2 linked regions of the Caenorhabditis elegans genome follow. The protein of the gene in region 1 interacts with the protein of each later gene in a pairwise test. Each region holds a gene or a part of one and is shown on either strand. Other genes may lie near its edges.

Region 1 (7,844 bases):
TGATAATTTTTGAATGTCTTCTTTGTACAGGTGAAAATTTTATTCATAGTATGAGTTCTAATTAGTTTGCTTCCAATGCACATTACTAATTGCACGCAATTTTGAAAAATTATGTCTATTCTGTAAAGATTTCTGTGAAATAAAATGAATTCTGCAAGTTTGTCGTGAAGGCAAAAAACCTTGAAGCATCGGGAATTCTTAGTTTCTTGTCTGGTCTGAAATGCAAATGTGCAATAATAATTCGGGTGATTTGATTCGAATGAAAATGTTTATTCATTGACTATAAGGACCCATGTATGTTCTCATGCAGATTTCTGCATTGGCTGTGCAGTTGTACCACAGATTTGGCAGGTTTTTGGGCATTGTCTGAAATTTCAGATGAGATTTTCAAGTTTTCTAGTTTGATTTCTCACTCAGCAATATTTTCATCATGGCATTGTCTAACATAGTTTGGGCAGAGACCGAGCTTGTCTTCGCATACAAATGGAGTATCGGTAACGCAGACACCACAGGTTTTACGACAACCACTGAAAAGAAAACAACATTTTCATCCGAACAATTCTAAGTATGTGCCTTACCTTCTAACATCTGCTTCGTTACAGTAATTTTTGAGTGAAGGGCATGATGGTCTTGAGTCGACACACGACTCTGAAGCAGTGTAAGCTACAAGCACAATCACAAATCCGATGAGATAACGCATTTTGGTGATACATAAATGATAACTGAGTCAAGTTTATATGAGGAGTTCTTATCAATTAATCTGGAAAAGATCAAAGAGTCAATGTGGGTGTAGACTCATGATATCACCGTATTTCATTGACATTCGGAGTGCATCGTGCTTTTAAATGTCAAAGATCGGCAAGATGGCAAGATTTCTATAAAACTACGTCAAGGGTAAAGTTTAGAACAATTGAAGTGACAAATTTCTGATATTTGATAATTTGATAATTTGAAAATCTAAAAATGAAGTAAAACTATTATGATTTGGAAAGATGGAGCTCTACCTTTTTGATTGTTTTTTTGGAGTCGTTCAAGTAAAATATGTCTCTCTGCTCCAAAAATCGTAACTAATTTTTTTAAAATATTAATTTAAATCAATTCCATAACAATTGTAACAAACCAGAAGCATTCAAGGGGTTAATAAATTAATTAGTTTTGAAAAATCATTGCTACCTGCCTGAATAGGCAGCCGGATGTAGCATATGGACAGCTCACGAGAACATTTGAATCCTAATTCGCTCATTGTACTGCCTACATGATAGAAACCATTATTTTGACTATTCTGATTTTTTTCAAATTCTTTTAAAAGTATGAAAACAATTTAAAAGCATTATTTTAAGATCTCATCGTCGTACCCAACTCCCTCTCATTAGAAATTTATTATTATTCCATTCAAATTTGCAAAGCACATCAGTAGTTTTCTGTATTTGCACAGAAGAGAGTCAAGTATAAGGTTAGGTCAACTTTGCGGGACTCACAATTGTTAGTCAATCATCAATCACTAATTAGGCACTAATCCTTCTTAAGTAGAAGTTTGAACACGCTTTCAAGTTAAGTTTATTTGTCTGCTGTTTTAGTGGTAGAAACCATTTTTGGGTCTCCTAATTGTAAAGCGATACTGTTAAGGTCGCAACTCAACTATGGACTACAAGTCGTATTTTGGATATGAAATATTGAATGAAAGACTGATCGCCTTTTGGTAGACATGTTCCAAGATTCACATACACATTCCCTTCCAATACCTTCACCATTCCAGTTTCCCACCATTCTTTTCTATCGATTGCTCCAACATATCGTCCCTGAAATTGCCACCTCTGCGTTCCCATAACCGTGTCTGGTGATGTATCAAAATATTGAGGTTACAACATGTCATTGTTTGACTGTGGGATATAATATTTCACTTGGACCTGGATCCTTAATTTTTGCAATTTTTCGCCCGTACGTTTTTCAAAATTGAATCGAATTCAATTGAAATAAATTGAAATCGAATTCAAAATAATGATAGAGAGGTCGTTTGAAGAACCCATCGGAACTGTCTAAGTCTTTTCAATTTATTCAATATTTCACACACTTCGAGCACAGCGGGATACGTGCCGCCGCAAGAAGGTGTCAGAGATAATCAATTTTTAAACACATAAAACATACATTTGAAAGAAGATGTACGGACTGGTACCAAGGCCAGTGGGTCACTCTATTTCCTAATATCTACAGTTTTTTTTTAAATTCTTTTGTTTTATGTCAAACGGATTAACTGTAGGTTTTGGCAGCCGATCTTTAAGATTCGGTCTTAAAAAGATCATGTGTATCCTATTGCTTTCAGTATCCATTCAATGTAACAAAACTCTTTTAAGGTGGTTTCAACTAGGTTATATCCTGACCAAGGGTGTCAATGTCCCGTAAAAATTTCGAAAACGGGACAACGGGAATTCCCGTTCCCGTGAAAATTTTAAAAACGGGAAAACGGGAATTCCCGTTCCCGTGAAAATTTCAAAAACGGGACAACGGGAATTCCCGTTTTTTTGAAAACACTCAAAAACGGGACAAACTGGGCGGTTTAAAAAAAAAGAGTGCATAGTTGGCGTAAATTTTAGTGTATTCGAGGCAAATTATAAAAAAAACTGCATTATAAACATTTTTATCGATTTTTTCAATATTAAACAGATATTTAAAAAGCCAAAAAATGAGGGAAAATGTCCAGTTCCCGTGAAAATTTTTAAAACGGGACAACGGGAATTCCCGTTCCCGTGAAAACACCCCAAAAACGGGACAACGGGAAAAACGGGAAACGGGAATTGACACCCTTGATCCTGACTGTAATTTCAAAATTTAGATAGTTTCAATTTCACTCTTCTTAGGAAATGTATTGTCTCATAACTGTTTTTAGAAAGTCGGTACCATAAAAAGAGCACTAATCTCTCATTGTTCTCATTTTTCTTGGAAGCTCTGTTCATTTCCTGAGTCGGCTGCCAGTAAAAAAGAAGAGCTCAAGGGCTCAAGTGAGCGTGAGCCGGCAAAAAGCACTAGTCAATAACAGTATCATTAGGATGCCGGATAATTGACATTCAAAGCGGCTTTTCCTGCACTCTCCGGTCTTTTCCTCTAGTGTCGCAGTGCGTTTTACATGAAAATTCAAATAGGGCAGAAACAAAACCATAAAATGTGATCGACGGTTAGCACCCCTCATTCAATCTCATTAGGCCGCAGTTTTATGGATAATCAACTATTGCACTAAATGATATTTGTATTGGAAATTCATTAAACATATGAAATGGGAATTTGAGAAAGTGCAATGCTTCAGAACGACATGTTCTCTCCGTGTTTCTCTAACAGTGAAGCCATCGCTTATTTTACTTATTTTACGATCAGAAGAAATTTTCAATTTCAGCTGATTTTAAAAAATTTGCACACAAAACAAGAACCGGCCACATTTTAGATACTGAAAATATTTCTGAACTCAAGCTCCTGAAAGGCTGCTGTTGGTCTCCAGAATTTTTTTTTACTTTATACACGTTTCAATGGAAAATCCAAGGAAAGTTATAGAAACATGGAAGACATTACTACAGTATTACAGTATTCGCAGAGCGATCGTTCTGGCGCCATGGTACAACAAAGACAATCTGAAAAGTTCAGTCCATCCATGGTAGATGAAAACTTGATTTAGTGATTTTTTTCTTAATTTAAAATCTAGAGTATTTAGCACTCCTGTTTTTATTTTTTATTAACATGGTGACAGAATTGCAATCACATCAATAAATGTAGACTGAAACTTTTTGGTAGATCATAATACAACATTAATTAATTGATTGCAAACTATATATGTTCACATCAATATTCCCACCCTTCGTCTCTCCCCCAACTCAGCCCTCCCTTATTTGGTTGCCCTTCCCGACCCCGCCCACTTTTCCGCGCATTCGTGTTGTGTCTTCCCCTTCGTGATGTGGTGGGTCATTTCTCGTTTTCATTCCTCTTTTTTGAATTTTTTATTTATTTTTCGAGTTTATGGTTGATCATTTAATGTTCTTGCATTTTTCCATAGTTCTTAATCTCCTTTTCTTTATTCTTTTTCGTTCTAGAAAGTCTCTCTTAACGCTGTTTGTATAAAAATTAAACTTAAAATGTACTCTTATTTCCTTTTCCTTTAAAATTTCAAATTAAATTTTTCAACTGTATTTGCAGAATATGACCGCATCCACCTCCTCAACTCCATCTACATCCACCAAAATTCCGTCGTCAAGTAAGTCTTCAGTAACGAAGCAGACGAAGCAAAAGCGTAATGAACGTGAACGAAAACGTGTTGATCAAGTCAATCAGGGATTTGTTCTATTGCAAGAAAGAGTACCAAAAGCTGCTGGAAACAAGGCAAAGTTGTCAAAGGTGAGAGTAGTTTTGTGGTGTTTGGGAGAAAACGTGAAGCAAATTGTAAATTTGATTTGCCTAAAGGAGAAATTTGCGGTTTGATTATAGGGTTTTGATTATGTTTTGTGAAAAATTGAAATATATTATTTAGAAAACCAATTGGCAAAATGTTCTCGTATATAGGCTAATATCAAAGATTATGCAATGTTTTAGAATAAGCTGCCAACTTGATTATTTCATGTAAAATTATTTCAGCCTAGCTTTTTTTCGTTATTTACTAAAAATATTCAGAAGCTCCAGCGCAATGCTTTTTGAAACAAATTGTTCGCACTAATCCTTTCGTGCTTAAAAGACTATAACAAAAATTATTCAGCTCTGTAACTTAGAAAAATGTATATTAGGGTTTCATTTATCAATTAGAAAACCAAAATTAAATATCCAAATCATATTTGCAGTAGAAAATTATGAATAGATTTATTTAAGATTATAATTTATTTCTAAAATTTCAGGTCGAAACCCTTCGTGAAGCCGCCCGTTACATTCAAGAACTGCAGAAGCAACTCGGAATGTCTTCCACAAGTTTCCATAATTCGATGCCAGCTGACTTTCCAACTCCAGAACAGTCTCCCGTATATCCCCAATCTGTTTGCTCAATGATGGCACAGACTCCATCGCCAAGCTACACCTCTCCATACTATCCACCACCACAAATGATGTCCTCTAATCAGCATGATATGTCATCTCACTATTATCAAGAAAGCTCATCATCTTCTGCATCCACTTCTGGTGATCATCATAGCTTTTATTCGCATACAGAAACTTATTAATCTGTTAAGTTGTACCATATTTTCTGTTTTTCTCAAATAATCGGGTGATCCAATTCCTTTACCGTTTCCTATGTGTACTTGATAAGGTTTAATTGAAACAATTTCAGTTGAGTAGGTGCTCAGTATATTTCATTTCAAAAACTCTGATAATAGCCATAAATACTTACTTATTAACTATCTTTGATTGTTTTTTACGTCTAGATTAAATTTGATTTTCATTATTTATTGTACGATAGTTTTTTTGATCTCAAAACAGTTGTTTATCTAAATTATTCTGCTCAATCTGTGCAATAAATATCTTTCACATTTAGTGATACTTTTAACAATTCGAACATTTTGGTAACTAACTGATGGCAACCAAAAAAAGGAAAACTATGACGTTTGACATTTTTTGGTAGAGTGTGGTACCTATCTGCCACCAGCCTACTTGATAATTCGCCAGGAAATCACCATTAAACTCCGAGAAGGTCCATATTCGAATATTGTCTATAGGTTTAAATGTATGATATCTAAAAAAAATATGTATATTTAATAGAGAGGCAGAATTAAAGAAAAAGAATTCCTAGAACATAGGTTTCTTGTGCACCAGCTCCTTGTTTTTGCAAGTTAAAATAATTTCCTTTTTTTTTAATAATTTAAAAACTCTCAAAAGTCTTGAAAAAAGGTTGCCCCAATTTCACATTTTGATAAGATCTTCAATCAGTTAACAAATGTTGTCTTTCAGTATTTCCCATGTCAAAAGTACAGTGACATTTCCGTTCTCATTGTCTATATTAGCCAGGAATACCATTAATATGTTTACTTCATCTTCTGGGAAGACTTCTTTGCACTTCTTTTTTGTTGCATGTCGGGCCTTTTATGCAACGTAATCCCACCCGTTTATTCTTTTGTCTTTTACGGCGGCATCATTGCCCACAATAAAACTGTCTCCATTTACACCCCTTCTTCCTAGACAACTTGACCTTTTTTCTGGGGTTTTCCAACAAAAAAGGGCTGCTCTAAAATGTGGGTCACTAGGGGAAGAAGAATAGACGAAGAATACTCGATCAAATGCAAATCGAAATGGGCTCTCACTCACTCTTCTTTTCGCTTCGTTTTCCCCATTTCTGACCACTACGGGTGTGTGTTTTTTTCCGTTTTTTTGCCGTGTTTTTTCTTGTGTCCATGCCCATGGGTGAATTCTAATTGACACCCGCAAAAAAGGGCACTCGAACATGCTCATTATTCAAGCAGGAATATAAAGTAAAGAGGGGAGATTTAGACATTTGACGAATCGCATTTGAATAGGCATCACAGAAAAAAAAACAGTTGAAGAGGGAGGATATACCATGTCTACAGGTGTCAATTTTGAAGAGGAGCTGAAGGGATCATCATGAATTGATAGCCTTCCGTAACAAGTATATGTAATCCTTCACTTGCGTCATGGATCGTGTTTCGCAATGTGAAAGGATTACGAATCATGTTATTGTAAGGAGAATGACGTGGCAAATAGTATAAAAGTTTTAAAGCATTTCTGTCTCGAACTGAAACGGAAATCTTCGGCTTTACTCAGTTATTTAACGCATATTGGGATCATGTGGAACCATCCGATCTTTCAGAATTTTGCATTATAGTATTCAGAGTTCCAATATGAAGTAGATATGAAATCTGCAACGGAAAAATTCTAAAAATTAAGTCTTGGGCTTTTTCTGCTCATTCAGTTTGAGATATTATGATATGCGACACAACATTTTTTTCAGATAAGCGTACGGAAAACATTTATCTTGAATTTTAATGAGTTATTAAAAAAATAACAAAGCTAAAAAATTGTTTTATAACTTTTAAGCAATCCCAGTTTTTACTTATTCTAGTTTCATAACTTTTTCATCCAGAAAACCTTTTCATATACCATCTGTGAGCATGCGAAGAATCAATGAATACATGAATGTAGAGTAATTTTCAAATCTTTGCTACATCTTCTCCTCCCATAGCCCTTCACCGTCCCCGCATCTCGCATGAATTAATCAAATAGCAGGTGCATACCGTATTGTATGCTCATGTCCACACATGTGCTTACCTCCCAGCTTCAGACAGTATGATGAAGGCCCACATTAGGAACCCCCGGAAAATCGTTGCACAACACCAATTACCGGACTCCTCTAGGCGGATTTCGGGATTTACCGGAGGGAAAGAGCTCAGTGAAGGGTGTAATTTTGAAAGGGAAGTGGGGAAAAGGAAAAGGTCTCGGAGATGTTTATATGTGTATGTTTTGAGAGGAATTAGGGGTAAGCAAGGTCGTACACGGGTGTCCAAAATATTTTTGTTGTTTTTGTATGAATATACGGTAGGATATTCGTAAAACTTTTACAAGGACCTAGCTTTTGACTGGGAGGGGTGATGACTATAACTGCAAAATCTTATTGCCCGGATTTTTGTCATGTAATTTATTCTAGTTAGGACCCACATAAGATAACTGGCCATCTCCAAATAACTTTTATGAAAATTTATGAATGGAACGTTTAAACGATTATATTTTTACTTACTACCAATGAGTAATTACTACCGATGAATTTGTACATATGTTCTCTATTTTTAAGTTTCTCGATCTTCGAGTAGTTTTGTAAAAATATATTCTTGTAATTGCTGGACAAACGACATAATTATTGTATTTGACTTGTTGCG
Region 2 (7,459 bases), on another chromosome or scaffold:
ATCGTAAATATTTTATTGTTGTATAATAAATCGCAGTTCTCTACTTGTATGTCAGTAATATCCCAGATTCACCTTCTCACCTTCACCCTTGTCTACTCTGAAGATATGACCATGTGATGAACATTTGCGACTTTGATTTATTGATGTGTCTCTATAGAGAACAAGGTGTTGAGAAGAGACGCAAAGAAAACGACTGAAAAAGAAGAAAAAGGGTTGGAGGGAGAAGATTGAGCTCATAGTGGAGCCTCCATCATCATACCCGACTGGTCAGTTCAACAGATGCGGGATATCCTGGTTTCTTTGTGTATTTTCTTGGTTTTAATTGGAAAAAGTGACACGAAATGGTTTGGAAAGTTTGGCAGATCACAAGCGAAAGGACTTCCGGTGATTCTCGGTGAGCTTTTGTTTTATTTGATTTCTTAACTTTAAATCTTTCAAGTCGTTCGGTCGGTCTACTGTAATTATATTTCTTTATTTTAAATTTTAAATTTTATATTTTTGAATTACATCCACAATTGTTCAAGTTCTCAGTTCTGATGTTTTATTTGATCAGAATTGAAAAGATATCTAGTACTTTCTAATACGAGTTCTAAAAAGTTTCATACATTCCAAATTAGTTTTAGTCCGTTTTTAGCAAATTGGAATTTAAAAAATCGCAATAAATATATTGTATAGTTTTCAGTGCCTGGTGATGGAGGCAGCCAGCTGGAATCAAATCTAACGGGTAAACCATCAGTTGTGCATTATGTTTGCTCCAAGCAGACAGCCGATTATTTTGATCTTTGGCTTAATCTACAACTTTTCACACCTTTGGTTATTGATTGTTGGGCTGATAACATGCAGTAAGTTTCATTATTTCCAGAGCAAAGAAAATCAATTTAATAACATTTCAGATTAGTGTTCAACACAACCACAGGATTGTCTGAAAACATGCCAGGAGTTGACATTAGAGTTGCTGGATTTGGAGCAACTGAAAGTGTTGAATGGTTGGATAAGAGTAAAGCATCACAGGGAAGATACTTCTTTGATATCGTTGATTCGATGGTTTCATGGGGTTATCGAAGAGGAAAAAATGTCATTGGAGCACCTTTTGATTGGAGAAAATCCCCAAGTGAGTTGAGCCTTCAGAATTAAGAGAATACATAGGTTCATTTGTTTCTCATAGAAATTGACATTTTCTGGTTTATACCCGCGCTAAAAGTCCGCGTACCGTTTGCGCCAACTTTCCAATTGCGAACTTGCTCACAAAGATCAGCAAAACCGTTTTTTTGCACTCCGAATTACCAAACCAACTTTGTATTTAATTCTAAACAATTTCAGATGAATTAAACGATTATCTCATTCAACTGAAGTCCTTAATTGAAACCACATATCGCTGGAATGACAATCAAAAGATCGTACTCGTCGGTCACAGTATGGGTAATCCCCTTTCTTTGTATTTCTTGAATAATTATGTGGATCAGGTGAGATAATTGAAAGGTGTTAGATGAAATAACACTTATTGTTTCCAGGCTTGGAAAGACAAATACATATCGAGTTTTGTTAGTTTGGCGGCTCCATGGGCTGGATCAATGCAAATTGTTCGATTATTTGCATCTGGATATAATATGAATTATTATAGAGTTATTCTACCACCGAGTAGCTTGAGAGCAATGCAAAGGTAAGCACTTTGAGGTGTTTGGAAACTTAAAAGTGAAATATTTACTCTTATGGTGCTAAGACTACCAAATTATGTTTTTCTTCAACTTATTTGGTTCTTCAGATCATTCTCCTCTTCGGCCTTTCTGTTTCCAAGTCCAGTTGCATGGAAACCACATGAAATATTAGCGACAACTGCTGACAAAAACTACACTGTTGGAAATATTAAAGAATTCTTTCAAGACATTAATTACATGGTTGGATGGGAACAATACAAACAGGCCGCCCGTCTGAATGGAAATTTAAGTTCTCCAGGAGTTCCAGTTCATTGTATTTATGGAACAGGAGTCCCCACACCGGAAAAGTTTTCATGGGCTCCCGGATACTTTCCAGATTATCCACCAACTGAATTCATGGGTGATGGAGACGGGACAGTGAACAAAAAATCAGCTACAGTGTGCACTAATTGGATTGGAAATAATAATGGTTATAAGGTTACTGTACACGAAGTATTTCAAGCTGATCACATGGCAATTCTTAAACATCCAAATGCAATTGAACTTGTCCGAAAAGCCATTTTCCAGTTAATTTGAGTGATGCAAAAAGGGTTCTGAATTTTAAAATTTTGTTTGTTTTGATCAAGGTGAATGAATTATGTTTGTATCACATTTTTTCCCGTTGTTGACATTTTATACATCCAATATTCCTATACATCAGTTTTGACAGACCATGAAAAAAACATCTCGTTTCAACGACTTAGAAAGTCAAACTAAATGTCTAATTATAAATGGGAATCCCTTTCAACATAAAGTGGAATCCATACTGCGAAGGACATTAGCACTTCATCGGAGCTTGGATAATTAAAGTGTTGAAACAGTTACCCAATAGAGTAATTCATGTGTGAAATTAGTTGGCGGTGTCTTTTTTTTTGAGTGGACCATTTCATTTCAAGTAGATACTAATTAGCTATGGTTTATCACATACACACACACAAAAAATAAGACAAGTTGGAAGAAGTTGATTGAATGAATGAATAATATGAAAGTTAATTTTAATACTTGAAATATTAGAATTAGCTATTGATTGATTTAAATTTAGAGGAGAAAATAAATTAAAAACATACAGAAAATTGTGATGATCTTGTAATAAAGTTTAAAATTTTTAAAACTGAAAACTGATTGAAGTTGAGAAATCACAGGACCTCCAATCCGGAGGGAGATGAAGGGGAACATTTGAATAGTTTGAACAAAAAAACAATATGCTAGAGAGTTTTAGCCGTATGGATGATTGGGAGAAGATTGGGAATGATAGTTTGAAATGCTTAAAAAGTCAATTTTTAAATTTAAAACCGTGGATGTCCAAACTGCGCGGATGGTGCATTGTCATCAAGCATCTTCATTTTATCATCATCAGGTTTCCTTTTCATTCCAGCCATCACTTTTGGATTCATATTTCGTTGACGAACCTGTAAAATTATAAATTTCAACTTGTTCAGTGTTTTGTTTAAATTTTTCGAATAAATTCCATCGCAATGTTATGTGCTTCAAAGTCAAAAATACAGCAGTCGAACAATTGCCAATTAATTTTGTTCACAATTTGAATGTTTCTTTAAAATATGAAAAATTATCTAACCTGTTCTTCCAATTGTGTAATCACAGATACTGCATTGTGTAGAATTCCCAATTTTGTTTGATTCCGTTCTGTATTCTGATTGTGCTGTGTGCACATTCGTCCGAGCTCTTTGAATGCCGAATTGATGTCACGAACTCGTACTCTGTAAGTTTTTTGTATTAGATTAGATTTGGAGATATCTCGATTAAATTACTATGTAATTGTCAATTTCCAATGTTCAATTCAAAACGTCTTAAAAGTAAAAAACTCCTCACCTTTCTCGAGCATTATTCTGTGATCTCCTATCCGTATCTTTGTCATCACTCATTGATTCATTATCAGAAAGCCTTGAAGACGATGAATGGCGAGTTGGAATTCCAGAAGATGGAGGGCCTTGTACCCGACGACGGCTCGTTGCTCTTGATGCAGACTTATCATTTCGAACAGATGATGCACTTGATCCTGGTGGCATTCCGGTCATTCCTGGATATCCATTTGGATCAAAGTGTGGGCTCATACCGGCTGGTGGGAATTGATGATTGTAGTCAACCAAGTTGGTATCTCCACCAAGACCATTCTGCAATATTTCATTGTTTTTGGTTTTATAATTTCTATAACCCTCATCTAAAACTACTCAACTTTTTCTCTCAATGAAACAAAACAAAGAATTAATTTCATTTGCCTTGCTAGTCAGTTAATTCTCTCAAATGGTACTATTGGGGGCCGAGTCAAATCAATCGATCTCTTTAATGTACTGAACCCCGCAATGTGACCGTCTCTGTTCACCACTTAATCATGCGGCGACGTCGGTCAATAGCCCCCTTCGGTTTTCGAGGACACCATCAGAAAATGTGACCGGCTATTGGGTAACAATGCAAAAAGCAAGAGCTTCAAATTTTGGCCAATTTAGTTATTCACTAGTCAGAGGTTGGATACAGGGATTTTACCATATTATTCTAGATTTCTCAAGACTGGAACGCAAAAAAATGTCATCAGGGTCTCAAAACTTTGTTCACGACAACAGTAGTTCAGAATCTTAATGTTTAGTATTGTCATATGGCAAAAATTATTTTAAAGAAAACTGAAAGAATCTCAAAAATTTCCTCCAACAAAAAAAGCGATAAACTTTGCCTAATTATGTAACTAATCCATCTTTTCTGTATGTTTCTCCTTGTTTTATGTTTACATTAGTGACTTTTTTGGAGGTCGTTTAGTGCGCACAGGGTGTTCTTCTCAAGAAGATGCCGCCTTTTGCATGCATCTCAATCTTCAGAAGGCGGCGGCTCACATCAAAAGGAAGCGGATTATGCATACGTGAATGCTTGGCGGCTGAGGAGGGCCAAGCAATCATTCGTCGAGATTAACTTGTGGTAAAACAGTAAAACACGAATAAAACCAAGAAGAATAGAAACGTACCGGCTGTCCAGCAAGTTGCTGCTGATACGATGAGAAGTCGGCAACTGATGGATCAGCACCAAATGTATATGTTGGAGGGATTGAGATGTATGGATTAACAGCTTCACTTGCTTTGTTATCTTCTGAAGGTGGAAGGTAACCTGGATATGTTTGTGGCCATGTATACATTGATGACATTGCGTCAATTGGTGCGGTAAGATTAGTAAGAGGCTGTGGAGCAACAATCGCTGATGTTTCTGCAGAATTCGTGGCTGGAGCTGTTGTTGGCTTTAACTCAAGCACATCAGTAGTTGAAGTTGGAGCTGGAGCAGTAGATGGAGCCGTCGTTGAAGTGGATGATGTTGCATGAATTGGCTTAATATCAGATGTTGCAGAAGTTGGAGCAGCTACGGAAGCAGGGGTTTCAGTTGGTGGATGTGTTGGAAGGAAGGCTGATGAATAATCAATATCCGTTGTTTGCATCGGAGGATACGGGTTGAGATGGTATCCTGAAAATGTTTATTTAGATGACTTGCACTTGAGAAATGAGATATAAACATTTTGGTTAATAAACTACTTACTAGAGCAAACCAGATTTTTACAAAATTTTAGAACATTAAAAGAGTTATACATTTTGTTTCAACTTAAAGTAAATTTTAAAAATTTGCGAGCTTATAAAATCAACAATTCAACAATTCGAGATAAGTAATACCAAACTTATATCCTTTTTCTGCAATTTATCCAATATTTCTAACTGATTACAAGCGACTTTTAACAAATTCACGAAAACATGTTTGGTTTGGTTTACCAAATGATATAATTGAAATTATAATAGATTTCAAATGAAAAAAAGACTAACCACTCCAATAATCAGGCATCTGAATCGTTGTCGGATCAATATTATAAGGATAATCATATGCATTTGGAAGCATAACCTGTGGTTGAGCAATGGCGGCAGTTGCAACAGTTGTGGCTGACGTAAGTTGGCTATTTGGATCCGCCATTGAGGTTCTGAAAACTTTATTTCTGCGAAATGATATGAAAGACGATTATAGTAGTAATGTCAAAGAAATAAAGTCAGCGGAGAAGCGGGGAGAGGAAAGGGAATAAGTAGGGAATTGGGCTGGAGCAGCAGGTGAAAAAATTAGGTTAGTAAATATATTCTGATTAGATTTTCGTCAAGACAACCCCATTTGAAGAAATATTGAGAATAAGAAAAAGAAGAAAATAATCGATTCTCCTCGTTTGGTTAAATAGGCAAACGAGATCAAAAGAGGCAAGGTAGATCAATAAAGAATAATAATTGTGACGTCACAATAGATCTACTAAGTTCCGGTATAAATTATTAGGAGCAAGTTACTTGAAGGAGAACAATTTGTAGGGAGGTAATGATGTTGAGATGGTATCAAGAAATAGTTGTAAATGTAGATGTCATTGTAGATGATTATCGGATGGATGACATCCCGAAAGAGCAATAAAATAACAGTAAAGGGGTGATGGATCAAAGGGTTTCAGGCCCATCTAAATAATTAGTTTAAATTCAGACGTAGGATAAGATATATATGAAAGCTTTAAACGTGAGCTAGTAACATTTCGGATGCAAATATACATTTTTTGATAAACTCAATAATTGAAAAAAAAACTGCCCTACAATACATTTGCGTTCTTGTTTAAATTCAAAATTGGTAAGGATTCGTAAACATTGTAGGAGTGAGAAAAAGTAATGCAGATCAAAATTATTTGGTAAAAGATCCAAAATTGAAAATTGGGAGGAGAGAAATTTTAATTTTCAAAATCAGAAGATGGGATACATTATGTATTTCATTCAAAATATGTGCTATGTTTTATTACAGTAAGATCATGAACTTGAAAAGCTAGTAAACGGAACAGATTTAGACACAAAAAAAGACGAAAAGAGTGCACTCCCCCCTTCTTAGCGGCTATGCGGGTGGCTAGGAATGGTTCTTCGAGGGTGGTGGTAGTGGAGGGACGCGTATAAAAGCCCATTCAAGGGACATAAACAGTATATTGGTGTACATAGACGCAGACATTCTTTCTCCCGGGGACCGTCTACATCCAAGAGACGCAGAGACGATGATCGGGAGAGGTCACGCCCACAACCATCTCTCTCTACCTCCTGCAGCACACAATCCTCTATTATCCCGGGGTCCTCCATCTCTTCTCCCACCATTCATTCACCAGTCTTTTTTGGGTGAAATGAGAGGAAAATGGGGGAAGGATTGAATGAATAAGGGGATTGAATGAATAGAAGAGGTCAGCTCTCTTGGGGGAAAATGTCGCCACCCGACTGTAGGGAGTACATTCATTTTTGAAGCATGTTATTAGAGTTTTGTAGGGATCTCTGAAATTTTAATTCTTCAGAATATGGTAAGAGTGAGAGAAAGAGTGTGCACAGGAAAGGGGTATATTTTATTAGAATAAAGTTACTCATATTCACAACAGAAGTTTCAGCAATCACAATACTGTGGGACTACTCGAGTCTTCAAATATCTTGAGCCATATCCTAAAATTGTCTCTCTGTGGTAATAAACCAACAATTATAAAAAGAAATGATACTTCCAATGCCCGTCTCTAAAGTGCATTTTTTGACAGATGTTGTCAAAAGTATACGGTACTGGAACTTTTTTCTCGAGAGTATTTGGGGAGGTGTCTATTGTGGGACGGAGTGCAGCTGTCATCAAATTCAAGTGCTCAATGGTTTGGTTAGAAAAAGTTAGAAATACGGTAATAATGACGAATTTGTTCTACAAATATGATTAACTAAATGGTGATACTTATTTGAGAATGTTGAAAA

The links.
Region 2: the proteins of hlh-3 (region 1) and hlh-2 interact in a two-hybrid assay, tested with the Caenorhabditis elegans proteins (2 studies listed by BioGRID).

The regions. Positions count from the first base shown.
Region 1 is NC_003280.10:9,082,432-9,090,275, forward strand, and holds hlh-3 (Helix-loop-helix protein 3), read left to right. Parts: upstream 1-4,176; 5' UTR 4,177-4,179; coding exon 4,180-4,374; intron 4,375-4,865; coding exon 4,866-5,183; 3' UTR 5,184-5,477; downstream 5,478-7,844. Other genes in the region: sysm-1 (ShKT domain-containing protein), read right to left, coding at 303-366, 414-527, 579-700. UniProt on the Caenorhabditis elegans protein: Probable transcriptional regulator. May mediate transcriptional activation by binding to the E-box motif 5'-CANNTG-3'. Plays a role in the differentiation of the hermaphrodite-specific motor neurons (HSN) that are required for normal egg laying.
Region 2 is NC_003279.8:7,188,260-7,195,718, forward strand, and holds hlh-2 (Helix-loop-helix protein hlh-2), read right to left. Parts: upstream 5,662-7,459; 5' UTR 5,649-5,661; coding exon 5,504-5,648; intron 5,154-5,503; coding exon 4,666-5,153; intron 3,827-4,665; coding exon 3,525-3,826; intron 3,413-3,524; coding exon 3,271-3,412; intron 3,104-3,270; coding exon 2,981-3,103; 3' UTR 2,529-2,980; downstream 1-2,528. Other genes in the region: plag-15 (PhosphoLipase A2 Group), read left to right, coding at 280-394, 683-842, 894-1,111, 1,321-1,463, 1,512-1,660, 1,763-2,231. UniProt on the Caenorhabditis elegans protein: Transcription factor which binds the E box motif 5'-CA[TC][AG]TG-3'. Plays a key role in the anchor cell/ventral uterine precursor cell (AC/VU) decision; required for VU fate.